Lonchura striata: one gene and its partner. The protein of the gene in region 1 purifies or fractionates together with the protein of each later gene. This does not show direct contact. Links are inferred from orthologs where the notes say so. Each region holds a gene or a part of one and is shown on either strand. Other genes may lie near its edges.

Region 1 (16,685 bases):
CTGTATTTTCCAGGATACAACATAAAGGCTTGTCTCTGCAGTTTTTTTATGTGATCTTAGAAGTGTTGTTGACTTCACTGTGGCTGCTGCTCTTCTAAAAGAGAAATGCATTGATCTTCCCACTAACAACTTCTCAGCTGTCCAGCACAGGTTTGCTTTTCTGAAGAAATTCTGAAGGTCACTCATACATACATCAAGTCTTCTATACCAATGAAAAGAAGCAGTTGTGCATAGAATGTAGAGGCTACAGGCCTGTGGAAGAGTGTCCAAAGGTTGTATTCCAAAACTCTGCTCAGAAGCTGTATTGGCAAAGGCAGCCAGGAGATAAGCTGGCCTGAGCTTTGACTTCCAGAGTGCTGCTCTTCTGAGGGCTGATAGTGCAGTCCCTTAAGGTCTCTCTGTGACTTGGCTGTCTGGGCTGGCTCAGTTCTGCCAGAACCTTAGCACAGGAACAGAAATAGCTTGAATCCAAATCATACTGTGGCACTGTTTCTACAGAGCTACCAGTCTGTGTGCTCAGTCTCTTAGCCATGCTGTACAAACTCTCATTGCTGTGTCTCAGGAACTTAACACATAGCTTGTTCTTTAAAACCGAGAGATCCTTTATTGAGGAGGAAGGATCACATGCATCCTTTATTTTAGAAAAAGTAATCAAAATTTTGGTGAACTTTGCTTCTTCCCTATTACAAACAAAATGCAAAACCATCTTGTTAGTTCAAGGACTAGACTTTGACTGAATGCTTTGGAGATAGTAGTGATGGCCAAGTGCACACTATTAAAGCATGCAAGAGATTATTTTATTTCAGTCTATCACATTTTGAGTTTTGGAGTGGAAAATTCCATTTTCCAAAGTTAAAAGATTTACATTTAGTTTTATTACAGAGCAGTTTTTTCTGGAAACAGCATCTTACATCTATTTTCTGTTGGTTTTAAGAAAACAGCAATGTCAGTAATCGATGAAGAATTCACTAATATCTCTACTCTTAATTGTGCTGCAATGTTACAGTAAAGATTATTATACTGTTAACATTATAGCTGAGGTTTTGTCTTTGAAAGAACAGAGAAATGGGCAAATGGGATTTGTAATCCACCTGCAAATGCATCCTGTATTTGTGTCCACATGCAGTAATTTTCAGGGCTTTCCATAAATCATGTATGTGCCTTAGAAGCACTTTGCCCCTTCTGCCCATGCTCCCAATGGCATAGCCCATGCTTTCACAGAGAAGAGTCTTGAGGGCAGAAAGGACAAATGAGCCAGGCAGTCACTCCTAAAACAGTGGGATTGGTGTTTCACCACTGTGTAAAAGCTGATGTGGATAAGGAGCTGATGTGAATAAAGGAGTAAAATTACACTAGAATCCAAAAGGAAGGAAGAGATTCTGTCAGTAAATCATAGCAGAGGAGGTTTTCTCACTGGTTCTTCAACCACTTTTGTTTCGGTTGTCCAAACAGACACTCAGGAAGGTGGCAGCAGTAGAAGACATGGCACCTCCATGGTGAGTTCAGCTTCTATGGGTATTCTGCACAGCTCTTCGCTTCATGACTATACCCCTGTCAGTCGCTCTGAAAACCAGGATTCTCTTCAGGTATCTCCCCTAATCTCTTTTCCATTCTCTCTGCTTTGCTTGCTCTGCTCTGCTCTGCCTTTTGTGTCATTTTGTCTCTGCAAATTGTCTTAATTCTTCAAGGAAAAAGGGAGAATTACACATTCACAATGGTAAGAATTGCTGAACAATCACTGACATAACAATAGTTACCTTTTAAATTGTGTTGTCAGCTCTGTTGGTAAAAATTGATTCTCACAAAGGACATGTAGGAATAATGAATGAATTTCAGATCTGAGCCAGAATTACTTTTCATCCAAAATATGTAATAAGATCCAAGTTTTATTCTGAGAGCAACCTTATGTATTTCCACAGGCTCTGAGTTCTCTGGATGAAGATGACCCAAACATTCTGCTAGCTATTCAGCTGTCATTACAAGAATCTGGCTTGGCCATAGATGAAGAAACTAGAGACTTTCTAAATAATGAGGCATCTTTAGGAGCAATAGGTACCTCTTTGCCTACAAGACTGGATGCTGCTCCCATAAGTATGGACAACCCAAGGGGTGCTTTGAGCAGCTCTGAGCTGCTAGAACTTGGTGACAGTCTGATGAGACTGGGAGCAGGCAATGATCCTTTCTCAGCTGATCGTCTTCATTCCCACCCCTGCAGCGAGACAAGAAGTGGATTGTATTCAACTTCAAGCGATGCTGATTCCAGCAGTCAAGATCCCAATACCAATGAAAATCTGCTTGGAAATATTATGGCCTGGTTTCATGACATGAACCCACAGAGTATTGCTCTGATCCCCTCAACAAGTACAGAAACAGATGAGGAGTCACAGCAACCCAGCACTGAAGATCGGTCAGCAGGGCAACCAAATCTTACAGACACAGGGCTGGAGCCTCAGGAAGACCATGCACTGTTTGAGGATGCACTCAAAAACGAAGGCAGAGGAACCCAAACAGAGGAAAGCACTTCTGAAGAAAACATTATTCCAAGTGAAACAGTATCACAAATTGGTGACTGTAACAGGGAGGTAACAAGCACCCTAGATGCTTCGGGAGATAGTTCAAGTCAGACTCCTCAAACCTCAAGTGAATGGACTGAACACGTGCATCTGGTATGAATAAAAACTAAATCTGGAGTAAAAGAATGGCGGTGACAGATGGTACAGTATGTGGAGTAAGCATTATGGAGGCTTTGATCCACATAATTGCAGCTCAGTTGTAACCACTGACATAACAACGGATATTTAGGAGTTCTCTTGAATTGTAGTTCTTCATAATGATGTGAACCTTTCAAGGAATATCCTTTGCATTCAATTAGGTAGTATTTGCCTTTTTGCTCTCAAGAGAAAGGAATAAGTAGGTTGTATTCCACATTCCTAATACAATGCAGCATCTGTTTAGCCTTAGGTTGATGATCCTTAACTTGAAAGTACAGATTAAAGGCTTACACTGATTATTTTGTTTGGTTTTCCTAAGAAATAGTTTATTCAATTTTTTAGAACTCATAATTTCATCAAAATAACATCTAGCAGTTAATTTGCATTTTGGTTTTGTTTTCCATAACTTTTCCTTATTCATTTTTCATTTTTGTTAGCAGTGTGAACAGAAGTATTTAATGCTTCTCTCTAGTACTGCTCCAGGAACAAGTTTTAGGGGATATTCTTTCCCTTTAAAATCAAAGATTTTTTCATGTCTATTTACAGTCCAAATGTGCCAAACTGTGAAAAGTTAACTGGCAGTAGCCTAATGAAACAGTTCAGTGTTAGTCTATCCAACTAATCCCACAATTCTTAGCAATGGAAGAAACCACTGGGTAGCATTGCTTCTCCAAATTTAACTGGCATATGTTGCCATGGTGACTGCATTTAATTAAATGTAGCCTGTATCTTAAGTTAATAAAACCTAATGCTGCTGTTAAACAGTTATTTTAAATATTAAAATACAGTGAGTTAGCAACAGCTATGCTGTATTTTAAGAGACACTTTAATGGAAGTGCAATCATAGTTCTTTGTTTTCATAATTCTACAAAGCATTTTATGCACTAATAGTGCAATTACTTTTAATGATAACATTTTATAAAAATATAGGAATACAGAATTTTCATATATTAGTCAGTCCCAGAATTAAAAGTCCAGATAACACATCCTGCTCAACATGTTACGGTGCCTTTGCCTAACCCAACTGGATAGTTGCCACAGTTAAACAAGTAATTCAAATTCAGTGTTTGTTCTGGAGTAACTATGCTATTAATTGCAAAGACCTCCATAAAACCACCCATGGCCTTGCCTTTACAGTAAATAACTAAATGTACAGTCAGTGTTTTTGCATATACAAAACACTACTAGGTATTTGTTCAATTGCACAATATTCATTTGCTGTGTGATTACTGTTTAGTGTAAAAAAGAAAATTAAGAAAAAAAAAAACAAACCACAAAAAAAACTTTTCCTAGTTGTTGTACCGTGAAAAACAAAAATACTGGTTTTAGATTTGCTTAAAAGCATCAATCTACAGTTAGTGAGTTACAATGGTACAGTATGTAATTACAACTAGAATAAGTTGTTCAAATGGCTGTTTTAATTGCATATAATCAAAACTTTTCATAACATGAGCAAATAACATACACTCCATTTTAAGTTTTGCTTAACTGTTACCAGAGATTTGTTGATATGATATAAAAGTTTATTACTACTGAGTGTGTATAGGCAAGTGTCATGATAGCAAAGTTTATGTATTGATTACTGTGAGTTCAAGTGAGTGTTTTGGTAACTAATTCATGCAAATCCAGCTTTGGAACCTTGCAGTTACAAGGTTCATATTAGTAAAAAATGAAATAAGAATATTTTACCCTTACCCCATAAAAACCTTGTCAATTTTCAAGCATCTTTAGAGAGAATGCATTAGAATAGTCTAAATAATTTTCCAACTTGTCCTCTAGCCACCCTACTCCTGACATAATATTGAGCCTTTGAAAAATACCTATAGGTATAAAGTCTTTCAACTAAAACGGTCCTTCATGAACTGTCATCATGAATTGGTCTGAAAGTTGTTTAACTCACATAGCTTCCTTGAATGGTAATTTCTGAATAGAAAGATTCTCGCAAAAAGATTGTGTATTGCATTGAGATGTCTTGCAAAGTTGCAGTAAGATATGTAAGAGTGCTCTCTGTGAAGATAGTGAAGTTTGTGGGTTCTGGTTTTATGTAATTTGGTTAGGTTGTGCAGTATATCCATTGTTTCTGTGTTACTCTTATGAGCATGAAATTAGACTATTAAATTTGTATTTTCTTGGTACTTATTTTAACACCATAGTCATTGACTTTACAATTCAAAAATAAAAGTTTGGCAAGACTATTTTGTAAACCTGTTAATTTTATAATGTAAAAAAATTACTCTAACCTTGAATTGTTATTTGCACTTTCATAGTCTATACTTGATACATTCCCACTTTATATACAGGTAGGATACTACAACCATGTAGATGTTTGGCCAAATGAATGCTGTTAATAATATGTAAAATTCTTTGATTAAACATTTATTACTTAAACTAATTCCGTTCTGTCTCATTTCATCTTAGACTTAATGTAGGATATCCTTGAGACTGCTGACAGACATTTTTAGGGTATGTTCAGTACTATGCCAGATTAGTTGGACACCATGTAGTAAGCTGAATGTTTTGATACGTAAATACAGGGGACCATCACTAAGCTTTGAAAAAAATATACAATAGAATTTGTCTTAATTGCTACAGACATATTGTGCACTTGTTCTTTGTAGAGTGATGCCTTGTCACTATGAGTAGTGGTGCTAAAGAGGGGGGGCTAATTTTTGTGAAAGATTCTGTTAATTAGTGTTACTTAAGTGCCACTTAATATCCACTCTGGAAATTCCAGAGTGCCTCTGTTACATTAGTAGCACTAAACTATTTTGTTCATTGTTACAGTTACATCATCAACTTCCTCCACTAAGCATGCCAAGATCATGGAATCACAGACTGGTTTGGGTTGGAAGGGACCTTGAAGATCATTTTGATCCAATCCCCCTTCCATGAACAAGGACACCTTTCACTAGACCAAGCTGCTCAGAGCTCTATCCAACCCGGCCTTGAACGCTTCCAGGGATGGAGCATTCCCAACTTCTCTGGGCAACCTGTTCCAGTGCCTCAGCACCCTCACAGAAGGCATCCCACTGTAATAGTCAGGGAGGGTGGTGAGAAGCCAAAACATGGACACAGTAATAGCCAGTTTCTTTACAAGCAATTGTCTGGCTCAGGAGACAGCTTCAACATGCCTTGAAAGAACCAAATACTCATGATCATTTTATGTCATCTCTGTCATTGCTTTACCTACCCATGTCCCTCACGAGGGCCAAAACCCAAAAACCTCACAAAATCCAGGTGAATTCCTGGCTCTAGTACAAGCTTGAATGAGTAATTAAGACCCAAAAGCTGCAAAGACAGATGCATGTTACTTATGCGAGTAATAACTGTGTAACACATCTCAAGATTAACATCAGTTGTGGCCCAGGGAATTAAGGGAATAAAAACTGCTTTTCTCAAAAGAAAGCTGTTAAGTACAGAACCTTAGAACATAACCATGTGGAAATCCAGAGTGCACCAATCCATCAGATTTATACCCAGTTTCATGCATTTACAACACAAATATTTCTGGAGAAGCAGTCCATGTGCATCCTCTGCAGCTGACTGTGGAACAGTGACACACACATAAGAATAAAGGATTCTTCAGCTGTGAGCCAGCTGACTGTAGGATAGCAGTAAGAAGCTAGGAGGAAGCAATGCAATTAAATCCACTGCAGAACAATTCAACTACTGAAGCAGGAAATGAGCAGTATGTACGGATTTGCATCACTTCCAATAAAAACCATTCTCACTGAAAGCTCCTGGGGAGAAAGAGTTCTACTGACAGCCAGTGTGCCTGCCACAGTCCCCATCCATAGGTGGAACCAACATTTTATTTCCTCCACTTCTTTGTCGAGTCTACATTGGAAATTTCACAGAGCAGGGACGGGCTCTGATGACTCCCAAGGGCAGCCCTTTCTTTTACTGCGGGAAAAATAAACTGAAAATACACATTAACTGGAAGAGAACTTTTACTCTGCAACTTTAGCTGAGCTTACACAGCACAAAATGCCTCAGCTGCATCAGGCACTTCCAGTCAGGCCTCAGACAGAGTCAGCCCACTCCAGCTCCAAAGAGAGGCTAGTTCTGTTAAGGAGAATCAGGAAACTGAAGAGGATGCTCAGAATTTGGGATTGACGTTGTAAGGCTTGGGATCCTCTGGAGAAGAAGGTACTTAAGTAAAGTCCTGAGCCCCACCTCTCCTACCCATAACTACCAGGTATTCAGCAACTCTCAGAACATTTCAGCTGTTGCCCAAGATAGCTGACATGCTGGGTGTAATTTCTGACAAAACATCATAACCACTGTTCTTTGTGTCACCTTCCAGGTGAGGTAGGGATGAACAAACTGCACTGACAGCAATCCCTGCCTCTGATTTTGCACAAGGCCAACAGAATAATCATACCAAGAACACTGTAATCTCAAGGTGTTGTTTTACTGTGGTTCTATTGAACTGACAGAACCACACTTGTCAAGAAATAGTAAACTAAAACTTTCTGACAACATAAAAATGGTTGTCTAAACCAGTTTTTAATTATCTTAAACTACCACCGCAGATTACGTTTCTTAAAGATTAAGCTTTATTCATTTGGATTTTTTAAATTCAAGTTATTATTTAAAAGCAGAAAGAATAATCACAGTGGGTAATTTATCAACAATATACAGTAGCATATTAAGAGTATTCACATATATGTAAACCACACATATTCTATATTTGTGACAGAAAAGACCCTGCACATGATTTCATAAAGATCAAGGGGTTAGCAGTCTGGAGTCAGGAAGATGGTAGAACTGGAGCAGAAAAAAACAACTATTGCAATTTTTATTTGCTCTCCATTAACAATAAATATTATAATAAACTCACAAAAACTTTCACAAAGTATTGGATACTTACCTCGACAGAAATGGACATTGTCACTCATTTCCAGCCCATTTCTACACAGACTAGTGAAGCTCTGCCAACATGATGGCAGTCAGAGGGGCCCAGACTCCTGAGGTGGGTGGTTGGGAACAAAAGCAGGCAGACGCTACAAAAAAAAAGTGGGAAGAACTTAAGGGTTCTGAGAGATCACTGATCTGCAAAATACAACTACAGAGAGATGCATTAAAGAAACAGAAAACAAATAAAAAAAAAAATAAAAAAAAAAGCACCCGGTAAGTATAAACAGCTTGAAAAGAGATGAGGGCAAATGAAGATTTAAATCAAAATTGAGGAATAAAAATTTGGTGCCTGAGACAAGAAAGTCAAACTTGGTGTGAAAGAGGCATGCAAGAGGTTAAACGTAGCTGTCTGTGAGCCAGTAGCAACACAGGCACACCCTGCATCCACTGCATGCTGCATGAGGGGAACATGTATTAATAGATTCCTGCAAATTATGGCTCTTTGTGTCCACTGAGGACAAGACAAAAATCAATTTCATTTGCACCAAAGAAGCTTTAAATAAACTGAATATGGGAATTAAAAGACTGCAAATCCTCATGCATGACTGGGCATTTCTTTCATAATATCTGACTAGAAAAACTTCTACAAGGGATGGCCCATGGCCACGTGAGTGGCAGTAGGTGAGGAACCACTATTAGATCCATGGTTCCTACTACATTTGGTTCTCAAAGCTTCACAAAGGCACATGTTCATTCCCCAGCCTTTTAAACTACTTGATACGTAACTGAGGCTTCATGCAAGAGGGGCATAGAATCATAGAGTGGTTTGTGTTTGAAGGGGACTTTGAAGATCATCTAGTTTTAACCACCCATGCCATGGGCAGGGTCACCTTCCATTAGCGCAGGTTGTTCAGAGCCCCACCCAACCTGATTTTGAACATTTCCAGGGATGGGGCATCCACAACTTCTCTGGGCAGCCTGTTCCAGTGCCTCACCACCTTACAAGCAGAGGATTTTTTCAAAATATTTAATCTAAATGAAGGCAAAAACTGGCATATGTTGAGGTTAACATTCACCAACACTTTCTTCTGAATCAGGACAATCATTGCAGTCCATCTCCAGTTCCCTGATTTTCTGTTGAGCCAGAAGAGTGACAGCTGTAAATCCTTGAATGACAGCACCTGGCATCCCCTGCAAACAGCAACAGCATCAGAGGTGGCTTCTGCAGCACAATGTTAAGGGTTGGAAGCTACCTTAAAGATCATCTAGTGGCAGCCCCCCTGCCATGAGCAGGGACACCTCCCACGACACCAGGTCTTGCACAGCAAAGGTCTTACCCAGCACAGTTTTGAACACTGCCATGGTTGAGGCATTCACAGCCTCCCTGGACAACCCGTTTCAGTATGTCACCACATGCACAGTAGAGAATTTCTTCCTAATATCTAATCTAAATGCTCCGTCTTTCAATTTGTACCCATTCTCCCCTGTGCTGTTCTGCCACTGCTGTTCCTGACAGAGTCCCTCTGCCTCCCCCGGACGTTCCCTTCAGACGCCGAAGGTGCTGCGAGGTCTCCACACGACCTTCTCCAGGCTGACCAGCCCCAGCTGCACCATCGGGGCCGCCCGTGCCCGCCTCCGACCCCGCCGGCACCGACAGGCCAGCGCTCTCCGCGCCGCGGCCCCGGCCGAGGCGGGAGCAGCCCCTGAGGGGCCGGGCCCCGCCCGTCCCGGGCCGGGCTCGCCGCCGCCAGCAGAGGGCAGGCCCGGCCCCGCCGCTCCCGGCCCGCCGCTCCCGGCCCGCCGCGCCACATCCGCCGCCGCCGGGAAGCGGCCGGCGCCGCGCTCCCGCCGCTCGCTGTCGGGCCCGCGGGCCCCGCGCCGGCCTCAGCATGCCGCTGGGGCTGAAGCCCACCTGCAGCGTGTGCCGCAGCACGTCCTCTTCCATGTGGAAGAAGGGCGGGCAGGGCGAGATCCTGTGCAACAACTGCACGGCCCGCTCGGCGCCGCCGCCCCCCGCCGCCTTCGCCACCACCTCGGCGGCCGCCGCCCAGCACAGCAACAACGGCGGCGGCGGCGGCGGCGGCGGCAAGCAGGTCAGGAGGCCGAGGGCGACGGTGGCGGAGCCGGCGGGGCCGGGCGGGGCCGGGCGGGGCTGCGGCCGGGGTGCTCGGGCCGTCCCCCTTGTGTTCATCCCGCTGTTCCCCGCAGAGCAAGCAGGAGATCCACCGCCGCTCCGCTCGGCTCAGGAACACCAAGTACAAGTCTGCGCCCGCCGCGGAGAAGAAGGTTTCCACGAAGGGCAAGGGCAGGCGGCACATCTTCAAACTAAAAAACGTAAGGCGGGGCCGCGGGTGGGTCGGGAGCCTGCCCCAGGCTGGGCTGGACATGGAGCCCGCGGGAGCAGCGGGAAGAGAAACCGGTCAGGGAGTTCAGCACTCGCTTCTCCACATAAATCCTGGAGAGGGAAACGTCAGCTCTGTTGCTTTGAGCTTTAAAGTAGAAGTGTTTGCTAGTTTTCTTATGTATCTGTATGTTATCTAAAAGAAAAATCCATTTCTGGAACTTTATGGTTTATTTGTTTTAATGCTTTTGATTTTCTGTTTCTGTATTCTTTTCTTAGCCAATCAAGGCTCCTGAGTCCGTATCCACTATAATTACAGCAGAATCAATCTTTTATAAGGTATGGTTTATGCAAATCTATTTGCAAAAATTATTATCCTGTTTCTGTTTCCAATGTTAGGAATTATCATGGACAGTGAAAGCACTAGAGATATAATCACAGAAACTGTTCTTCCTTGCCTAACAGTTGTGTAGGATTTTGGTTTGCCATAGTTATTGCCATTAAGTCTTGCAAGGTAGTCTACCTAAGTTTAAATAGTTGCCATTTTCCCAGGTTTTTCTCTTCCAAGCAAAAGTACTTTTTTTTTTTTTTTTTTTTTTTTTGTAATTATTGCTGTCAGCATTTTTAAACTTAACTTGCACTGTGCAGAGGTCAGGTGACTAGAGACGATTATTTAGATTTGTTTGATATTTGCTGTCTTAGGTGCAGAATATATTTCGCATAGAGGTGGGGTTGCAGTGCCCCAGTATCTCAGCTGGCTCCCATTTGAGAGCTGGTGCAAGCAGTCTCAGACACCCTGGGAACAAGATCTGTTGGCACTTGCAGTGAAGCAAGAAGGAGCCTTCTCACCTTCATGCTTGAGAGCAGCTTTACCAGCATGCCAAGGTGTTGGTATTCTAAAGCACTCAAATTTGCTTTTGTTTCCCAGCAGTATAAGCAAACAGAATGTTTTTTCACCCTCTTCCTCTCCAAAAAAGTCAGAATAGGCAGTGGGAGACTACACAGCCAGTGGTGGTGTGAGATTCCATATACTCTCCAGGGACCTGATGTTTCATGCCTGGCATTCCAGATGAATCTCGTTTGCTTTTGACCAGTTCAGAAAAGAATTACTGTCATGTGTGTCTGTTTTTATCAGAAATTCCTAAGAACTATGTCAAAATTTCTGTTCTCATTATGTAGAACATTGCTACTTTGATACTTTGCAGTGTTGTTGTGAATAAGTTTGTTTGGGATTGTTTGTGTTCTTTTTATATGTTTTGAAAATAACCACCTTTCTTTCTTGTGCTACCATTCTTTAGCATGTGGCTAAATTGAAGCTGCCTTTCAAGAGTGGAATAAATTAGGATAATTTAGAGTACTGCTACTTAATACATGAATCAGGATGTGAAGCTGACAAAAATCAGGTTGTTTGATTTCAGTGCCATTTGTATGTCTTCTAGGGTGTATACTACCAAATTGGAGATGTTGTTTCAGTGGTTGATGAGCAGGATGGAAGAACATACTACGCTCAGATCCGTGGGTTTATTCAGGACCAATACTGTGAAAAGAGTGCTGCACTAACCTGGCTCATTCCTACCCAAGCCAGCCCCAAAGACTGTTTTGACCCAGCATCCTACATCATAGGTAATCTGTAAGCCTTCACGTCATGCAACTACTTGGATGTGCCTATGCTAATGCAGAGTTGTATTTTTTAAATCAGCATTTTAGCTTCTCAAGGTATTTTATGCAAGTTCCACATTTTAGACTCTAATCTTGTAAACATCTCATTTACTGTAATAAGACTTTTTATTTATCTTGTGTATATAATATGATTACCACTATTGTAGTGTGTGATTATCTGAGTGTTTGTGGGTAGAATTACAGTTGTGCATCTTTAAGGATCAAATTATTGATTACTATTATTACTATTATTTATTATTATTATTACTGTTATTACTATTGATTAAACTATTACTACTATGTTTAAACCATAGTAACTTTGATTCTGATATACTAGTCCAAGTTGCTTATTTTAAAGTGACCTGAATTACTTGATCTTTATCCTGGGTATTCAAAATACATAGCACCAGCATAGAGACTGTTCTGCTATTGATGATAAAATAAGGAATTCAGAAAAGTCCCTCTAACAGGCAGAACACAAATAGAATGTATTTTAAATATGTTAACTACAATAGTCCACTCAAATACCAGAATGCTTCAAATGGGATGGGGGGGAAGATCAGCCCAGCAAAATTAAAGGTAGAGGTTTATTGCCTAAAACAGGAGGAAAGTCATGGATTGCAAGGGCAAGCTCTGTAAGGGAATGTTGGCTGTTGTGGCATATTTTTATTCAACATACTTAGTTTTATGTCTCCAAGTTATGTCTTTGAATTTTTTTTCTAGGACCAGAAGAAGATCTCCCAAGGAAAATGGAATATTTAGAATTTGTTTGTCATGCACCTTCAGAATATTTCAAATCTCGATCATCTCCCTTCCCTACTGTTCCTACAAGGCCAGAGAAAGGCTATATATGGACTCATGTGGGACCTACTCCTGCAATCTCCATTAAAGAAACTGTAGCCAATAATTTATAGTTTTCAAGGAATACTTTGGACTAGTTCTTTTGTTTGTATCCTCCAATTTGTAAACACCTTACAAAAAGTTTTAAAATTATAAAATGTGCCGGGTTTTTTTAAGGATTATGGTATTTATTTTTTTCAGATGTATCAGACCTTTGAAGTGAAAATTTTCATTCCAGTTGATGCATCATTTCAGTGCTTTGCTCTTCAGAAATTATTGCTGATCTTGGGACAAAACCAGAAGTTTCATGTCATCTTTGATGTCTGTAGCATTCATTCTTACTTTTTAAGTTATTTTCCAGAAGAGGAGTTTAAAAGATACAATCATCCAGCATTTTATATAACTGTTTAATTTAGTTAACTGTGACTGCTGGTTTTTGTAAAATAATTTAAGACTAGCTTCACCTAAATCCTGAAATGGTCAGTGATGCAGTTAAGTTTTCTGTTACATGGAGAGAAGTGATCTTCCTGGATTTCTGCAGACTGAAACCTCATCCGTAAAGAGGGACGCTAACAGTCACCTTTTATGGAATTTTGTTGATCTGAATCTGTAATTGGCCTATGTGTGTAGCTTTCTGCTAAACTTACTTATATAAGGGCATAAATTTCCTGGAAAATTTGATGCAAATTCAAAAATTAATGTTATTTGCCATCCTGGCATCCTTATGGCAGAAGTGTATTTGCATTTCCTGAGCAAGCCAACACTGACACATGATTTGAGTTTCAGACTGTTAATATTTGTTTGCTTGTTAGCTTTAGATTTTAAATTGTTTTTTCAGTCTTCACAATTAGTGATGGTAAGAAAAAAAAAAGTCAGGCAATTAAAATGAAAAATCAGTAAGGGAAATAAAAATTAATTAATTTTATGTATTGACAGTCTCAGCATGACAAGGAATGTGTATAAACAGCAGAATGGGAGCAATGCCACATACTAAAATACCAACGAAGTTTTCTGCCCTAAACTTTTTACAAGCCATTCAGCTCCAAACACAATGAGATGTGCTTGTATGGTTTGAATTCCAAGGGTATTGTATGAAAGCATTAAAATGTTGCACTAGGCTTATATTCTAACTTTATGAAAGGCTTTGATTTAACATGTAACATTTGAAAGTCTCAGGTATTGACAACTTTTAATACAGTGGGACCTGTGAGGGCAGGAACCAGACAGATTTGTTTCAGCCTGCAGCCTCTGTTCTGCCCTCTTCAAATACAAGGAAGAACAATCAGCCTTAGGGGAGTAGATGCTAAAATTAAGGGATACTGTCAATAATTCAAAATGCTCAGGAATTAGCAGTAGATCGGTAATACAGAGTTAAATCTTAGTCTTCAGTAGCTTAGAAAGATGAGATGTGTGCCTATGTTCCGTGTGTTGCATTGATTAATCCCAAGTTGACATCACTTCTCTCCATTCTCTCCTTTCAGTTTCTCTGGGTTTTTTCTTCTTATTTCTTTATTAACAATTACAAGAAAATAAAAATAACAAGTCCTATATTTACAGTAACCAGAGTGACTCCCTTGACTCAAATCTTTGACTTCCTTTCACTGCAGTCCACAAGGTTTTCACTTGGGATCACTCTAAAATCCCTGTGCTGCCTCAGCATAATCCATGGACCTGTCTTCTTCTGTGGGCTGTCTTACCTTATATGAATTACCAGGGTTGGAAAAGGCCTTGATGGTCATTGAGTCCAATGAAGCTTAGTTCATTGTCAAATCCTCATAGGAGTAACAATGCTCTACATGGTTTTGATTTTTTGAGTTCCTACAAGGAACTCAAACCAAATGAAAAGTACTTTTTGCCATTTGCCTTATTTGTCAATAAATTGTAATATAAAAGGGAAAATTACAGAATATACCTTTCTAAAATTCAGTGCTGCTGTCAATTCAAGTATTATGGTTCCAACTGCAGTCTAAACAGACAAAAATATTTTTTTTCAGAGAGCTATAGAACAACTTCCTTTAGTAAACACTAAATACTTTTATTTTAGTGTAGTTTTTATTATACTAGGAAATGTTAAAAAATAATTCAGATTAACAAGAATTCTGAGTGTAAGGTCTCAAAAGAGACTGGATCTGCAGGCAGTGACTGTTACTAAAGTGTTAAACTTCATTTTTAGGTATTTGAATGGTTGCACTGTCTTGTTTTTCTTGTGTTCAGAACATCACCCAGTAACACAGGGAGAATGATTGACTCTCCAGACAACTTCTTATGGATGGACACAGCTGAAGAGTGGGACCTCCAAGAGCAACATATCTGAAAATTCTTCATCTCTCTCATATTAGGAAAATGGAGGACAAAATGAAGACCAGCAAAATGGACTCAACAGCAGAAAGAATATCAAAGGATCCTGTAGGGACAGGCTTTGATGCCCTGCAGCTGAGGGAGCTGAGCTCACCCATTTCTGTCTTCTAGCTTGGTAATTCCCCATGCCAAAAGGTAGGTAGGTTTCATATTTGTATCACTGGACTGTGAGTGGATACATTGCCACTGAATTTACGGCCTTGTGTTGAGCTCCAGAGTTTTGTGACCAGCCAACGGTAATTTTCATCAAGGCATTTTAATTCTAAAGATATAACTTGTAGCCAAGACCTAAAAGCCACAGAGCATATATAAAATACTGAGTACCACAATAGACACGTGGCCTGTGCCCTGAGGCACACATTGCAAGACATTTGTGGGAGGAGTGCCCTTAACTTTCACATGAACTTTACTGTACCAAAATAATACTTGCTGGAGAAGGGTTTCCTTTTGGGCAATGGCTTTGTTGGGAGCCGAATACTTTCTGGGAAAATATGATGCAAACACAATGGATAAATAAGTATGCAGCTCCTTGAGCTCCTAAAATGAAGCTGGGGTTCCTCTCTTGCTGCTGTGCTGTGCTACATGGCAATCATCTCAGTCATCCTGCAGAGGCTGGATTAAGTGCCTGCAGCTCAATATCCAAGCCAGTGCAATAGCTTTGCTTTCATGTAATGCAGCCCTCAACTTTAACATTAATATTATACAAGAAGCAAAGCATACATTTATTGTGGTTGGTGGTATATGATGTATTATGATTAATAAAGGCCTTAAATAGCCTTGCAGAGCTGAGAACAAAAATATTAATAGGTGTAGTATTGAAGTTTCAACTGCTCTTTACAGTTACTGAATTAGAAAGACAAATTACAATTTTATTCTGTTTTCACACAGTTAGATTTGGTACATCTGTTAGGAGACTACAAAATTATGGAAGATGAACATTATATGCCCAAGCAGAAACACTTTTACAACAGTTCATAGTTGTTAATAGTTCTTTTTGTGTGCTCCCCACTACACAATCTCATGATCACTGACAACAGTATTTTGTATTTGGCAATTGTTTCTCTTTCACCCACACAGTCACACTTACTTTCAGGAAGACTACTTTACTTTTTTTACCCAGCCCTTCTAGTTGGTGATTTGTTATTCTTGAATTTGGCCTACAGCTTCTTTTCTAGTTTGGTAGCTTCAATCACAAGAACAGATTCATGGACAACATCTACAGGTGGTTCATGCATCTTTATGAAATGCTTAAAGTGCTTCGATGTCTATTTAATCAAACAGAAGTATTACTGGAATCTAGTTTTGATAGAAGGTTGTTTTATCCTGAACATATCAAGACTCTCCTGTGCAGGGCATTTAGACTCAGAACAATTAACCCAGGCACCTGTTTACATATGGCAACTGGGCTCCTGCAACGCCTTTTGAACTCCTTCATTTAGGGAGAACAGCGCAGGAGTATTCCTCTTTTCTCATGAAGCTGTCTAGAGGCAAAGTTGTCTCAGTAGTTCCACCTGTCTTCCTACACTCCATCAGTGTCCATGGGCACTTCTTTGCTGAAGGCCATCACACCTCTCTGCCTTCATCAGTGTAAGGTACCCTGTTGTAAACTGCCTCTGTCAACTGATCCAGGATTGAAACACACAAAATACCTTTCCTTTTAACACAAATCTTCCCCTAGGGAACTTGGATAGGAATGTTTAGTTTTGTATTCAGATGATCATACCTTTGATAATAATCCTTCTCAGTGTATGTACAATTCTATGCAATCAGTGTTCCCTTTCTTTGCAATTAGGTTACTTTTGTGTAAAATTACACTGTAATGCTGCTTGTGGTAGTGAATCTGAATTATGTAAGCAGAATTTGGGAACCTCTTCTATCCTAAGCCTAAATTTGATTTCAGTAGGTCATTAAGAAGT
Region 2 (16,196 bases), on another chromosome or scaffold:
CAATTACCACTGCTTCCCTTTTAGTACCCCACCTAAACAACACCGTGAAATGGAGAGAGAGAGAGGAAAGAATTATGAGCTTTATAAGATCTTGTGTAATAAACACAGTAGTCGCCCATTCCCAACTATCAGATCTGCTGGCGGCAGTACAATCTTAACAACGCTGAGCTTGTATGTGATAAAAAGACATAAGGCAGCTAAAGGAAGGTGAATATATTTACAAGATAGTGCCAAGATCTCCATAACAAACAGTCATTAGCAGATTAGTATTATGAATCTAATCCAATTAAGAATTTCCTTTGCAAATGCCTGGAGGAGCTGGAATTCCTCTGGGAAGACCTTTCTGTGTTGTGAAAGGCTCCCATGAGTCATGCCTGCAGGCTTACATACCAGGAAAGACCAGCTCTGGAGCAGCAGGAACAAAGCAGTGAACCCCACCTCGAAGCAAACCCTGCAGCCTCCTGCTCCTGAAGAGTCAACTCAAAAATGGACCTCACAGTGGCACAAAAAAAAGATTTCTCAGTTCCACAAGTCGTGGTCAACATAAAACTGGCACTTTCCCAAGCCAAGGTACGAAACCACGGAGAATTTTCCTTGTTCACAGTCTCCCACTGTGCCATTTTAAACAGCTTTGGAACAAAGCAGGTGTTTGATGAAACACCAGTCCATGCAGCAGCCACGTCTTGAAGGCAAAGCCTAAGTCAAGTTGCTAAACATCCCCCTCCTCAACTTTGAATCCTCGACTTTAGAATCCCAAAGCCATGCCCCTATCACTCCACACTGATGTTGGGAACTGCAGCAGAGACCCACGGTTCAATCCAAATCCCCAGTTCTTGCCCACAGTGCAAAATCTGCTCATGCGCAGTTTAACACGAGCAACATCCCCACACCCAGGTGAGAGTGGTGGCTTGCCAGTCACCCAATCACGAGTTCCTCAAATTCGTACTGTGAATGATTTGCTGAAGCCCCCAGCTGAAGTCCATAGATTTAGGCTGACCTTATCTGCCTTTGCACAGAGAGATTTAGGACAAAATAAGGAGAGTGAAAAATCTCACTGGTACAACTTTGCTGAGCAGAGCTGCCAAGACTGATCATGTTACCACATCTGCAGGCGCACACGCAGTGACCCTCTGCTGCCAGAAACTCAGCCAGGGCAATCACTTCCTCCTGCCTCAGGATCCAGCCTAGGCTGGCCCCAAGTCTCCCAAAATATCAGAACCAGCGACACATAAAAACAAAAGTCGGGGTTTTTTTAAAAGCACATACTTAAACCAATATTGTTTTAACAAAGTATCGGTGAAGATAGATACATTTAAATGTTGGGAACAGAACAGCTTACTCTGACCTTCAATATGCAATTACATAAACATTAAAGTAGGGGTTTGCCAATCATTTACTGTTAAAAAAACCCAAATAAACAGAAAGCCTCATAATAAAAGCTTCCTCCACTTAAAATGACAAGCTTTTTTGAAGCTGTGATGTAATTTGATGTACTGAAACCCGTTCCTAGGCACTATTAGGTAAGAAGTTTGCCTCTCCAGCATCTTCCTGGACATCCTGCTACTCCTTGCAGCAGGAGATGCCTCAGACCATTCTAAGATTCACCTGGAACACCTGAGGCAGGCCCAAGATGACCATTAATGGAAGGATTAACTGAGACAACAGACTGGCCATTGTTTTTCTCCACTCACAGATGGCATATTCATGTAAAAATCCAAAGCTGGAACAAGTCAACAGGGCATTTTAGGCCGAATAAGGTGAGGAAAGAGTTATTGATGCCCTACCAGCCAAACACAACTTTTTTCCATTCTTTGTTCGAAGCACTTAAAACAAGGTGACTCATAGAAAATACCAAAATGCTAGTTTAGCTTCCTCTGCTGCACTTTGCAGCTCTGTTACTCCTGTTCTTTGACACCAGCACTTGGGTGAAGACTGCCAAATCGGAGGGGAAATGAGCCAAACACTGCAAATATAAACACAAGGAGGTGCTGCAAAAAGTTTGATGGAGGTAGCAGGCCCTGGTACGGACAGAACACACTTCTCCCAGCACAGCAGTGAGGAAGCCCAGCTACAAGGAAACGTTTTGCTGAGCCGTGCCACAAAACTGGCACTGTCATTTACGTAACTGGTGAGCTTTAAGGGACTGAGGTCACTCTGCCATGCCAGCAGAGCTGCACAGCCAGCGGCATGAGATTTTTACAAGAGGGACTTGAACCGCAGCATTCAGCGAGGTTTGTGCTTTTGGGCTCCTCCAACCAGAAACTCAGGCAGGGAGACTTTTTAAAAAAACAAAAAGAGGGAGAAAAAAAAAAAAACAAACACAAAACTGTTCTGTGTTGGTTCTCCCTCCTGTTGTCACTCCCCTCCCCCAGCTTGTTAACTAAACTTTTCCTCTCCCGGGGATCTTTCTAATCCTTCGTAATGAATTTGCAACATCAGTCACTTTGCAAACCCACTTCAATGTGAATCAAGTTTACTACAAGCTCAAGAAAACATAGGGAATTCTAACAATCACATTGCCAGAAGGAGGATATAAATGGGAAAGAATAGAAGTAGCACTGGAAAATTGGTTTTCAATCATGTAAAGAAGGAGTATGCACCATTCCTGGGGGCCTGGGCTAAGGCAGAACATCAGGATGGAAATGCACTCTGCACTGTTACCCAAAGCAGCAGATTGTGGGCAAATAGCAGAACAAGACAACAACTTCAGAGCTAAAAATCCCATGTCCTGTTTTCAAGAATTCCTAGGGACCCAAAAAACCTTCCTCTGTAAATTCAAACTTGAAGAGAGTCACCTGACTGTGATATTAATCCAAGTATGTTGAAACTAAGTATCTGGCAGGGATTTCACACTTTCCTGTATCCCTCCCACCAAGCCAGTTTATCTCCAGCCAGGCTGGAGTCCTCTGGCTTCTCAGAGCACCCATAGCAGCTTTCCTGAACTAGTGACTCCAAAATGGAGTTGTGGGAAAAACTGACACCCCAACAGATGAATTGGGAAGTCACTTCCACCCACGTCAATTCAGGAGAGCAGTCGTTCCACAGTGTACCAACAACACTTGTTATTTACCATCTCAGATGTGTAATACTATCAGACTCCAAACGTTTCCGGAGTTTTGGCCTCTGCCTTCTGTTTTCCACAGAGGACAACGGGTTCAAGTGCTAAACTGAAGTTAAGGCAAACTGCTGAAGTTTGAGGGTCACACACCTAGCAAAGCCAACTTACTCACTATAGCCTTAAACATCTTGATACAGAAGAACCTTCTCTACACAGGAAGGAGCAACACAAGTTCCTGCGAAGCTGAGCTGGGTTTGTCTCCAGCTGACTGCATGACTTGAGCCAATCATACCCCTGAAAATCCTTTTCTTTTGTAATATGGCCTCTCCCAGACAGTTGAAATCAACTGCTCATATACCCTAGACCAATTAAAAGCTACTTTTTTTTGTTGTGCTATACTGATAATAAATTCAACTTGGTACTAAAGCTCACAATAAATATTCAGAGAACAGGTAAGTTGTTGACACGAATCAGTTAAGAGTGCTCCAGCAGGGCTATTCAAGTGACTTAAACCGAGCCTTCCAGTACAGCTACTATTCTTTAAATAAAAAAAAAAAAGGAGGCAGAAAGGAAGTTGCAAGAGCTGCCTTTCTTTATGCCTAAGTTTATATCCAGAATGGAAGTTTACTTTCAGCAAAGTGTAGGAGGTAATAGGAAGACACATGAAAACAAAACCTGAGCATTCCTTTGAGACAACCTAGGTCACCTGAAGGCCATAGCCAAGGGTCCAACAAAGGTTCAGGAGGAGGGAGGCAGAACCAGACCCAAGCTGGAGGCCTTTAGACAAAGCCTTTCCACACTGTGCCACCTCCCACAGCAGGGTCTGGGCTACTGTCAAAGGGATTGCTTGAGAAACCCCAGAAGAGGCAACAAATGGAGTGAAAGAGAGTATTTAGAATTGCTCTTTCACTTCTGTTCTGAAGAGTGACTAGTTAGCCAAAGATATATATATGTATTTTTTATACAATATTTTTATATAAATTCTTATACAATTATAATGCAACTAGCTCAGGTACAGTGAAAGCTTTTCAGGTATCTGATTTACCTGGTTGTTCCCTACTCACTAACTACAAAAACAACGCCAACTTAAGCCATGAAATTTAGGCAAAAAGTGGTGTCATTTATGGTCAGACTTAGCTAGGATTCAGAGTTAACTCTGCAGCCTTAGGCACAGCTCTTCCATCCCAAAATGGGAAGTTTCAGCCTCGCTAGGAGAACGCTCAGGACGCGTTTGGCTGCATCCAAAAACAACTACGCCCGGCAGAAGGAAAAAACCACCCTTAAATTAAAACTCATCAAGGACACTGGATGAAAAATAATGATAATTACTATCCTGCTAGGAAATATTAGAGGATCTGCACTACCACCAGTAGCACTTCCTCAGGGTAGGAGGGATGATGTCATGGCTGCATGCTACAGCATTGTCGGCTTTGCCTGGCTACATGCTGCTAACGGGACACTCCCTACAGGACTGTGACCGCACACTCAGCTTCCCTGCTATCAGCAACCAGTTTAGTAAGTGTTCTGAGACCCTCAATTAGCATAGAAATACAGAATAGCCAGCAAGCAAATGGAAATCAGAAAAAAAAAGCAAGGAAAAAAAAAAACAACAGAGAGAGGAAAAAAAGCGCAGAGGAGACAGCTGTAACAGGGTGGCAAACAAAGCTCCAAAGCATGAAAGAGAGAAAGGAATGTGGTTAAAAAATCTCCCCTAAGGAAGAATACTCTGTACTCCCAAGCTCCAGCTGTTTGACTTGCCCCGCTCCCTCCTCCACTCCATTATCCTCTCTGGCAGTGCTAATTTAACACAAACCGCCCGCCTCTGTCAACTGTTGAAAGGGGGGATTTCAGGATGCATCCAAGCTCCGGGTGCAGAAAAAGGAAAAACTTTGGGGCGGAAAGTTGAGGCGCTTTTGGCGTGGTGTCGCTTTGTGCGGGGAGAGCTTGGGAAGCTGTGAGGGAAGGCAGCAAGAGCCCATCCTGCTGCAGCCTCCAGCACCTCGAGCTCTGCCACCGCTTCCACACGCACCTCGATTCCCAGCCGGCAGCCAGATCTGCATGCAGAAAGCTCTGCCTTCATCAACAAAGCCACACAACTCCCAGCAAGAGCACCCGGCAGCCCCCCAGTTCACGGCAGACACCCCCACGGAGCAGGCAAGCAGGTCGGAAGAGCAAGGAGGAAGAGAAAAAAGGAGGGAAAGGAATAAACCCGGCCAACGTTAAAGCCTGGAGGCCTGGATTTCCACGGGGAAGGTATTTTCACGTTTGAGATACTGTGGGGAGTGTTGCGAGGGTTTGGAAGTCATATATGCAGCCAAAATGGCGCTGAGAATAAAAATATAATTTAAAGGAAGGTCGCCATATTGTAAACAGTGAGGCAGGGAGACACAGAGACAGCAACCTCCATTATTCCCAGCAGCTGCAGCAGCACGGAAGCGCTGGGAACGTCAGGCCTGGTGCGGAGACGCCACCAGGGTTTCCCCCTCTCCAGCTAGAGCCCTCCGGAGGGTCTCCCACAAGCCAGGCACCCTTGGAGAGGGGGGAGTGGGGAAGGTTCCCGCTGGGGAGGGCGGAAGGCCGGGCAGGGGCAGCAGCAAGGCAGCCAGGCCGCGCAGCCAGCGGCCTCGCTCCTCCTCCAGGCCTCTCGCCCGCTGCTCAGCACAAAAAGAAAGGAGGAGGGTGGACCCCCAACCCTCCAGAAAGCAGCCAGAGGAGGGTTCAGCTCGGCCGCCGTGGGTTAAGTCTGAGGAGGGATGGACCGAAGCGGGGTTTGCACCTCCTTTTTGTTCCTGTCTGCTCCAGCCGGCCCCACGTCCCCCCCCTCCCCGGGACCTAACGGGAAGCGGGAGCGGCCGGAGGGAAGGTGCTCTGGGCAGATCCGGAGGGAGAGAGCGCCAAGCCTTACCAGCACTGGAGGTGGAAAGCGGCGGGGCAGTGATCGCAGCACAGCAGATCCCCTCCTTCCTTGCAGCTATCGCAGCTATCGTGGTTAGTGGCCCTGCCACTTCGCCTGGGCTCCTTCTCGGGCCTCCTGCTCTTCTTCTCCCCATCTTCGCTCTTGGGGGGAGCCAGGAGGGCCTGGATTTGCTGCACATGCACACACAGACAGAGCGGGCTCTGAGGGGCTGCACGGACGCTGACCCAGCGCCCTTCTCCCCGAGCCCACCGGGGGGACAGCGACCCCGGGCCCTCCGGGAGGGGATCGCGGGGGGGACAGAGCCCCGGCCGGGCCCGCCCCGCCCGCCCAGTGTCCGGCAGGGCCTCTCCAGGGGCAGGGCGAGCTGCCTCCGTCCCTCCGCACTTCCTTCTAAGGCCACGGGGCTCCGGGCTGGGGGGGTTCCCTCGCCATCTGCCCCCCCGGCCCGGCTCCCCCCGCCGCGTCCCGGGCCTCACCTCCATCAGCCCCCCGGAGGTGTCCAGGTCGTAGACGATCGTCTTGGTCTCCATCTTCTCCCACATTCATCCAGCCCAGGAGCGGCCCCGAGAGCCCCCCCCGGGCGAGAGGGAGCGAGGCGGGGACGTGCGGCGGCCCCTCAGCGGCGGCTCCGCGTCGAGTCGGCGGCGGGGGGGGGGGGGGCGCGGCGCGGCGGGGGCGGGCGGGCGGCGGGGCCTATCCCACGGGCCGCTGCGGCTTGCGCGTCGCCCTCCTCCTCCTCCAGCCGTGCCCGGGGGCGGCCACGGGGGGCCCGACGCCCGCTGCCATTGCCGCGCAGGGGGTGGGTGTGTGAGGGAGGGAGGGGGCGGCGGCCCGGCGCCCGCCGCGGCCGCTCGCGCACCGCGCACGCCCCGCGCACAGGCGGCGCCGACGCTCCGGGCCCCGCGCGCACGCGCACTCCGCGCCCCCGCCCCGCCCGCCCCGCGCGCGCCTGCGCGCTCCGCTCCGCCTCCCGCGCGCGGACCTGGCGCGGCGGCGGCGGCGGCGGCGGCGGGGGGGCGGCGGGACGCACGCGCAGTGGCTCCGCCTCCCCGCGCGGCTCCGCCCCTCCCCGCCCCTTCCCCGCCCCCTTCTCGCGCAGGCGCGTGGCGGCCGTCACGTTCCAGCGAGTGGGCGGGGCCACCGGGGACGTCAGTGACGTAACGGCGCGGGGCGGGGCGGCGGGGCACGCGCCCGTCGGCAGGGGGCGCGCGGCGCGCGGCCTCTCTCGTGACGTCACCCCGGCAGAGACCACGCCTCTTAAAGCGGCAGTGCTCCCCTCCCGGAGCGCACCGGATAGGGGGCGTGGGGGTCGCGGTGTCATGGGGGTCGGGATGAGGTGGGCTCAGGGCCCACGCTGGGGTGGGGTGGGGGGGGTATGTGTGGGTGTATCCCCGTTCCAAGCTGCCCGGCCCCGCTGAAGAAGACGCCATCGCTTCTTCTAAAACACCATTTTTTATTAATGAAACAACCAAAAGATGGGGAGGGGGGCGGCGTCCCCTCCAGACCGAGGGGGCGGCGGGGGCCGGGGCCACCAGCCCGGGCGGGACGCGGCGGTGGGAGGCGGCACAGCCATGCCCGGTGTCCCTGCCCGCCCCGTCACTCCGGGTGCCGGGACGCGCCTTGGGGACACGCTGGTGGCGGAAGGGACCCCCCCGGTGAGGGCGAAGCAAGCGGGGGCCGGGGGGACACGCAGCATGCTGGGGACACGGGAGGGACACGTCCCTGCGTGGCGGCGCTGGGAGACACAGGGTCGTGGGGAGACCAGCCCTGTGTGCTGGGTGGGGGGCGGGGGGACACCCACATGGCCACCCAAGCCCCTCGGCCACCCCCGGGGCTTTGTCCCCTGCTCGCTGCAGCTCCGGGGAGCCCTGTCCTTACCTGTGGGTCCCCAGAGCGCCGCTCCCCCTGCCCGTGTCACTCCTCCGCCGCACGGACTGTGGGGCTGCTGCTTTCCCCCTGCGGGGTCTGGGGGAAGGATGGAGCCCGAAGGGCAGGGCAGGGTCCGGGGACCCCCGCTGGCTCAGGGGGCAGGATGGGATCCGGGGACCCCCGCTGGCTCAGGGGGCAGGATGGGATCCGGGGACCCCCGCTGGCTCAGGGGGCAGGATGGGGTCCGGGGACCCCCGCTGGCTCAGGGGGCAGGATGGGGTCCGGGGACCCCCGCTGGCTCAGCCTCTCACGAGCCCAGTGCGGGGGGCTGGGTGACAGTGGGGCTCGGGCAGATCCCACGGGGGTCTGGGTGAATTGGGGGTGGCAGGGGGGTGGCCGGTGCCCAGGTGGGTCCTGCCAAGCGCTCGGCTTGAGTCTCCTTGGGAGAGGTGTTCCCAGCCCGTGCCGGGGGCCGGTGGGCACGGGGGGGCCCGGGAGGGGTGGCTGCAGCGCCCAGCTCCACGCTGCCCACACCTAGATGGACACCTCATATTCCCTCGTGTCCTGCAAAGAAAACAGACTGCAAGGGGCTGGACACTCGGCAGTGCAACGGGGTGCCTGGGACAGGGATTGGGCATCTCCCATCCCGTAGAGACCTGGGGGCACATCCCAGACTACGACAGCCCTGGGGATGCATGTCCCATCCCATCCATGGGTCCTGGATCAGCGTCCATCCTGTACATGGTCCTTGGATGGATATCCCAGATAGTGTGTGTGATCCCTGGATGGTTGTCTGAACCAATGTGTGGTGCCTAGATGGATATCCCACCCCACATGTGGTCCCTGGGTTGATGTCCTGTCCTGTGTGTGGTCCCCAACTGGATGTCCATCCTGATATACATCATCCCATGGGTGGTCTCTGGGTGCATGTCCCATCCCCTGTGTTGTTCCTGGATGCGTCTCCTAAATAATGTGTGGTTCCTGGAACACATGACCCCATCCCACACCCGTCCCAGCCCATGCACAGCCCCTGGCACAGGTGGCCCATGCAGTGCAGGGTCCCCAGGGTGCCCAGCCCCAGACGGGGGGCGTGGAGGCCAGTACTTACTCCTGTCTCATAGGTGGGATTGTCAAAAGCCGACTCCACGGTGATATGGTCATAGGGGTGGGAGCCAGCAAGGGGCAGCTGCAGAGCCGGCTTCCCCTGGAGCCTGTGGGGAAAGGGCAGCTGGGGTGGGTAGTGGGGGGCCATGGGGCCGCATGGGGTGACAGGGGCCAGCGGGCCACTCACTTGGAGAAGTAGAGGTAAATGCCCCCGATGAGCAGGGCCACCACCAGCACGGGCAGGAAGACAGCGATGGCAACGTTGGTGCCCTCCAGCGTTGTCCCCGAGGGCACGGCCTTGGCCACAGCTGTCCGAAAGGGACATTTGGGGGCTCACCCAGGGGACACCCCACATCGGCCGCACCCTGGGTGCCCCTCCACGCTCTGGCACCCCAAAACACCCTCGCCCTTACCATCCAGGTTGCGGTTGCTGTAAAACTCATCGTAGGAGGCTGGAGGAGGCGGGAGAAAGAAACCAACACCAGGGGTGAGAAGTGGGGTGCTGAGCGGTGCCGGCGGGGTGCCGGGGTGGGGGGTGGTGGTCTCACCCGCCTTGCAGATGGGAGGGGAGCCGCTCCAGCGGGAGGGGTGTCCGGGCAGGCAGCGCAGGCTGCTCTCGCCCAGCAGCGCCCGGCCGGCGGTGCAGGAGAAGCGCAGGGTGGCTCCCGCCGGGTACAGCCGCCGCTCCGGGCTCTGCCGCCCGCCCGCCGGCACGCCGGGGTTGTGGCAGGGCTCGTAGGTCTCCGCTGCGAGGCAGGGGTACGGCGGCGTCAGCGCTCGACCTCGGCTCGGGGGATATGCCCGAGGAGGGGACACGCAACTCACGGATGCACTTGGGGAGGCGGTCGCTCCACTTGGGTCCCCCCGCAGCGCGGTCATGGCAGGTGAGGGTCCCAGCGCCCGCCAGGACGTAGCCCTTGTCACAGACGTACTGCACGGTGGCTCCCACCGGGAATTTAGGGTTGGAGACCACCCTGCGGCTGTGCTCAGCATCCCCAGGGTCCCGGCAGGTTGTCACTGCAGGCAGGAGTGACCGGTGGTGACAGCAGCTGGGGATGCGCTGCAGGGCAGGGGGTCACTGGTGGGCACCACTCACCCCGCTCGCAGGAGGGCAGGTCACCGCTCCACGTCAGGTCCCAGTGACACATCAGGAGGTCCGTGCCAGTCAGCTGGAAGCCGGGGTAGCAATGGAATGTAACCACAGTGCCATGGAGGAGCTCTGGCTGTGAGGACGTCTTCCAGCCATTTGCAATGTCTGGCAGCTCAGGGCAGGTGTCATTACGGGGAACCTCTGTGGGCATGGAAGGCTGAGCAGGGCAGTGGGGACACTGGGGACACCAGGGGTGTTGTCCCACCACGGGCCTCACCGGAGAAGTGGATGACAAAGCCCTGCCTATAGGCAAAGGCACCGGCACCGGGGTCGGACTGGAACTGGACGGTGACATCGGCAGTGGATGCGTAGAGCTTGAAGCGGCCACGGGCGCCCGTGTACTGGCCCAGGATGCGCGCCGTCAGGTCGTCCCCGTCGTAGAAGGTCAGCATGTCCCCCGAGCCCAGCCGCAGCCTGGGGCAGTGGGGCCGTGAGGGCAGGGAGTACACAGATCCACCATCCCACCATCCCCATCCCGGCCCATCCCAGCACTCACACGCGGACGTCCAGCATGATGCGCTTGTCCTCCTCCACGTGCAGCCCCCAGATGCAGTCCTGGCCCTTGCCGTATGCCTCTGGCCAGTTGGGTGACAGCACCACTCCAGCCGTGTCCGTCAGCTCCCCGCTGCACACCGCTGTGGGCACACACCGGGTTTGGCACCGCCACGGGGCACCTGCCACAGCACCCGCATCCCGCACCCACCATGTCCCTCAGCTCCATCACACTCAACAGCACGGTGGCTGCAGTATCTCTCATGCCCCTTACACAGCAACCCCCAGCACCTTCTAGCACCAGCACCCACCACGGCACGCTGGTTCTGTCTCGTTCCACTGTGGGTCACTGGGGTCGACGCACTCGATGATAGTGGAGCCCTGCTCCAGCGTGTAGCCAGGGTCGCAGCTGAACTCCACCGTGGTGCCCACGGGGTACCGGGGATCACTGGTCGTGAAGTTCCCATACTTGACGAAGGGCTCATAGCAATGCCCTTGCTCGAAGGCTGCGGGCACAGGGGCAAAGGTCTGCAGGAGCCAGGTGGGCACAGGGATGTTTGGGTCACCCGCTACACCCTTGGCCCCATACCCTCATAGCGCAGCGCCATGCCCGCAGCGGCCCCGCTGCTGTCAGTGGTGAGCTCCACGAAGAAGTGGCGCCCGGTGCTGAGCAGCCCCTCGATGGGCAGGTACTCCACCTCGTAGGAGTCATACACCGGCGGTGCCTCCACGTTGTTGCCGTTGCGGATGATGAGCCTGACAAGGCATGACAAGGCCAGGGTGCACTGCTGGCCATGGCCAGCAGCAGCCACACTTGGGCATGGATGGTAGCCTCCAACGCCAGCCATTCCCAACAGCACCATCCTTGGGTATGGCCAGAAGTTATCTTCCTTGAATGTGGCCAACAGCACCTTGACTATGGCCAGTGGCCAAAGGTAGCCACACTTGGCCATGGCAAGCAACACCCATCTTTAAATGTGACTAACGGCACCCATCCATGACAGATCCTATCTTAGGATAGGGCCAATGGCACCCATCCTTGGATATAGCCAAGAGCACTCATCCATGCACATGGCCCCGTGAGGGGCTGCCCCAGGGTGCCCCCACACCCCTAGCCCCCCCAGTCTGTGCCAAACCTGTCATCGTCCTCTGCCAGTGACACCTTTTCGAAGTGGAGGTGCAGGCGGTGGCCATCCGGCGCTTCCAGCAGCCAGTGGCAGGTCAGGTTGTTGCTGTAGTTCCCGGGAAAGCCGGGCGAGACAATGCGTCCCACCGTGGCATTCCGCACCACGCCGCCACACGCCGCTGGGGGAGAGGGACCATCAGCGGGTGATGCTGCCGTGCCAGCCGTCCCGTGTCCCCGTGGTGCCCGTGCTTACCGAGACAGAGGGGCTCACGGGCGCTCCAGAAGGGGCGAGTGGCGTTGCGGCAGACGAGCCGGCGGGCGCCCTGCAGCTGGTATCCCGTGGAGCAGCGGAAACGGGCGTCCCCGCCAGGGTGCAGGCTGCTGACCGAGACCTCCCCGAAAGCCGGCCGTGCTGGGAAGGGGCAGCTCAGCAGGTAGGCTGGGGGCAGGTGGTGGTGTTACCAAGGCTGAGGAGCAATGGAACCCCTCCCAGAACCCAGAAACTGCCTCCTCAGAGCCCTGGAAATGCCTGGGTGTGGCAGGGCTTGAGTGACACAGTGCCTATGGCTGCTGAGAATTATGCTCAATTAATCTATAACTGCTATGGCCAATTAGCTCTCCGTGAGCGTTCCTCACCTAGTCAGTGCCCACTTAAAACACAGATAAACTCCAGGTGCTTCTCCACAATCCAAATTAGCACCACGCTGGCAGGGAAGCTCCCAGAGGATACAGAGGGGCCTGAGCCCCATACCTTGGTAGTGAAAGTGGTAGGAACCAGGGCTGGGGGGCCGGGGGCTCTGGAAGCGGAGGGTGAGGAGGTTGGCTGGGCTGCGGATGACCTGGCCCCGCAGCAGGAAGGACTCGTTGGCCAGGAGGTTGGGCTCCAGGCCCCCCGCACTCTCCACTGTCAGTGTCTCCCCTTCTGCCAGGCTGATGTTCTCTACCTGCAGGGGACACAAGTGTCACCACCACAGCATCACCTGCCTTGGAGCTGGTCTTTGAGTGGCTTCTCTGCGGTCGATAGCCCACTGGAGCTTGTCTGTGCAGGGCAGCACCTTTCAAACATGGTTAGCAGTGCCATAAATCATCCCCCACGCCAAGAGCAGCAGGGCCCAGCCGGCGGCTCTGCCAGAGCACCACAGCACAGCCCTGCAGACAGCCAGCCTTGCCCTCTGGAGCAATTTGCTATTAATGATGCTAATTAAGCCGTGCTGCATGGTGAGGAGCAGCAGGACTGGTGAGTGCGGGCTGGAGCGGGGCTGGTGGTGGACGTGCTGCCTCTGGCTCACCACCAGCCACTGCCCTGCGGTGGCCTCAGCAGAGATGGGGACACGTGGCCATTTGCCACTGCCAGGAGCAGCACAAGGCCTCAGCACAGCAGGGTTTGCTGTCAGCCTCTGCTCCTGGCAGATGGGTGCTGGGTGTTCCTGACCCTGCAGCACAGCATGGCACCTGCTGGCACTGCTCACACCTTCTCCATTAGGGCTTCGTTAATTAAATCTCACAGCACTTCTTTGTGATGGGTGCCAGCCACAGCAGCTGGTGGGCACAGAGCATCCTGGGGCATCCCACCAGCTCATGTACCCACATCCCTGTGCCGGGGCCTGAGGGTAGGCAGTGTCCTGAGCCAGCTCTCTTGGCATGGGGACACAGGAATAGGGACAAGGACAGGGACAAGACCACGTGTTTGCTGCACCCTGCACAGACACACAGCCATGGCACAGAGTAGGGAGCACACCACACTTGTCTGTACTTGTCTGGCCCACCCTCAGCCCTCAGCTCACCTTGAGCTCCACACCATAGCCAGGGTAGACAGAGATGCTGTAGGTGCAGTCCAGGCTGCCATCATAGGGGACACCAGTTGGTTCTGGGGACACCAGCCAGCCCTCGGGACCCGCCAGCGTCCGGTTGCAGGGAGCTGGTGACAGAAGAAACCCCAGCTTAGCCTCACTTCACCCTGGTTCCACCTGACTCCCTCCCTGGCTCTCACCTGGCCCCTGCAGTGTGGTGACAGTGGTGGTGGTGATGGTGGAGGTGGTGGTGGTCCCCTCCTCATCCCCAGGCACCACGGTGGCCCCAGCTCGGGGTGCCAGGGATGTGCTGGCCGTGGTGGAGGCCTGGCTGGGGGATGCAGTGCTTGACTCTGGCACCCCAGACGGGGACCACGAGGGGTCTGCACCTGGCACAGCCCCCCACGCCTCCCCCCACGGCCCGGGGCGCCCCGCTGGCGTGGTCAGCGGGTCAGTGGGGAAGGCAGGCCGGGGCAGGGCAGGGGTGCGGGGTGAGGGCTCAGGTTCTGGGGGGCCGGGGGCAGGCTGGAGGGCGCCAGCAGGGAGGAGAGGGCCCGTTCCAGCAGGCAGGAATGGCGCCTGGGCCAGGTAGTCCTTCTTCAGGAAGGCTTCGTGCAGCAGGTCCTCCAGCAGCGGGTGGTGGTTGAGGATCTTGAGCGTGGGCGCCGTGCTCACGAAGCGAGCCTCTGCCTCCCGCTCCGCCGGCGTGGGCAGCGCCGTCGGCTCCACCTCAGCGCTCTCCCCTGTCTTCCTTGCCAGCCCATTGAAGCCTGGAGGGAGGAAAGAGTTTGGGATGCTGGGGAACATGTGGAGCGATGCTGTGCTGGGGACTGAGAGGGAACGGGGGACTGGTGATGCACCAGGGGGTGATGCTTCATCACAGACCAGCACTGTGCCCTCAGTGGCACCCGGGACCAGGGCCTGGACAGGGACTGGTGCTGTATCAGGTGTGGATGCAGCTCTGGGGAGTGATGTTGCTGCACTGCCACACACCTGTGCTGCTCTGGGGACCAACACTTCCCATGGGCCAGCCCTGCACCACAGCCCAGCGCTGCTCCAAGGGCCAACGCTTCCCTGCACACCAGTATTCCCCCAAAACCAGGCTGGCAAACAAATGCATCAACCACACACAGCGGGACTGCGACACCCTCTCCCCAGCATACCCTTCACTGGGGCAGCCCTAGCAATTAAGCCCCGGCTAATTAAGGCACATCTGCAGCATGTACCATGTGAAGGGCTGCCCACCCCGGATGGGGACAGCCCTGGGGCTGGGTATCCCTGGTCAGAGATTATCCTTCACCGCAGAAGTGGCCATCCCGTGCCAAGGTTCTCCTGGGTCTGCACATTCCCAAGGTGCAGATATGCAGGTGATTACCATGACCACATGTGCCAGGAATGTCTCGGGAGCCTGGACACTTGCACCCCTCTCCAGGCTGCCAGAGAGCTCAGCCTCTTCCCAGGCAGGCTGTCCCTGAGCAGTGTGGGTCTGTCGGGAGCCCCCCATCCCATCGATGCTCCCCCCTCTCCCACCCACAGCCATAGGGATTCCCCTGTCACCCCCGTGTCCCTCCCAGGCATTAGTCCCTGAACAAATCCCCAGCATGCCCAGCCCAGCAGCTTACGGCCTTTAGACCAAAAATAAAAGAATTTAATCAGCCCTAATGAGTCACCCAGCATCTCCCGCTCCTGGATCCGGCACAGCACCGTCCCCTCTCCTGCTGGGCACAGCTCAGTGCCACCGGGGTGCCATGGTGACACCCAGCATCCCTCTGAGGCCACGGTAGTGTGGGCACGTCTGACTACCGTGCACAGGCACTGATGACACGATACTGCCAATTACCGGGTAATTATCCCTATCCTTAGCAGGGCAGGGCCCCGCGAAGATTAATTACTCTGCGACTGCTGCTTTTAAGGGACTATTAAGAGACATTATCTTGGGTGTGCAGCGTAGTGGGGAGCTGCTGGGTGCTGGCAGGCATCCTCACACCGCTGCTACCCACCCCTTGTCCCCAGCACCCCCCTGCCATCGTGCCGGGACTATGATAATGCCCTGGGCACTGAGGCACAGCAGGGACACCTGCCCTCACCAGCTCCAAGGGGTTTGCTTGCACCCCAGCAAGGCCAGAATTATATTTTAATGGGTTCCGTTTATTAGAACATAAAAGTTAATGAGTTTATACTGAAGGGCACCAAAATCTCTGTTGGGCTTTAATAGCAGATCAGTGCTCAGGGCTGGGCCCTGCACCACCAGCACTGCCCTGTGTGGTGCAGGCTGGGCTAGAGGTGCCCACCCAACCCCTGGACACTCCTGTCCATGAGCATGAGTGCTGGGGGGCATGGTGGTTCCCATGGAGGCTACTGGCTAAGGTCAGCCTCACAGCAAGGACCCTACAACAGGTCCCACCTGGACACTGAGGGCCCTGGGCTGGGCAGTCTTGGCACCAGGCCCTGCCCTGGGCTCTGTGTGAGGCTCTGGGTACCGCAGGATGCTCTTGGCACCGAGGGGATGCTTGGGACTCTCGGTCCTCTGGGGATGCAGGATGCTCAGGACACCGTGGGAAGGCAGAGGGTGCCCAGCTGCTGCCACCCATGCCCCGTGAACACCACAGTCTTAGATCCTCCGCAGATGTCTCTAAGCAGCTTATCTCCAGTGCCACAGCTATGTTCCTCCCATGTCCCCAAGGTGACCA

The links.
Region 2: the proteins of GATAD1 (region 1) and PHF12 purify together in Homo sapiens (affinity purification with mass spectrometry; 7 studies listed by BioGRID and IntAct, with this or other methods). This does not show direct contact. The link is inferred for Lonchura striata from reciprocal best matches to the Homo sapiens genes GATAD1 and PHF12.

What each region holds. Positions count from the first base shown.
Region 1 is NC_134603.1:133,631,261-133,647,945, reverse strand, and holds GATAD1 (GATA zinc finger domain-containing protein 1), read left to right. Parts: upstream 1-9,397; 5' UTR 9,398-9,460; coding exon 9,461-9,660; coding exon of another isoform or gene 9,661-9,664; intron 9,665-9,694; coding exon 9,695-9,905; intron 9,906-10,191; coding exon 10,192-10,251; intron 10,252-11,351; coding exon 11,352-11,535; intron 11,536-12,294; coding exon 12,295-12,485; 3' UTR 12,486-13,971; downstream 13,972-16,685. Other genes in the region: ANKIB1 (ankyrin repeat and IBR domain-containing protein 1), read left to right, coding at 1,453-1,586, 1,920-2,672. UniProt on the Homo sapiens protein: Component of some chromatin complex recruited to chromatin sites methylated 'Lys-4' of histone H3 (H3K4me), with a preference for trimethylated form (H3K4me3).
Region 2 is NC_134622.1:7,572,440-7,588,635, forward strand, and holds the start of PHF12 (PHD finger protein 12), read right to left. Parts: upstream 6,627-16,196; 5' UTR 6,518-6,626; coding exon 6,452-6,517; intron 6,146-6,451; coding exon 5,964-6,145; intron 1-5,963. Other genes in the region: SEZ6 (seizure protein 6 homolog), read right to left, coding at 8,392-8,424, 8,953-9,055, 9,136-9,256, 9,362-9,400, 9,497-9,694, 9,774-9,965, 10,045-10,239, 10,316-10,512 and 8 more.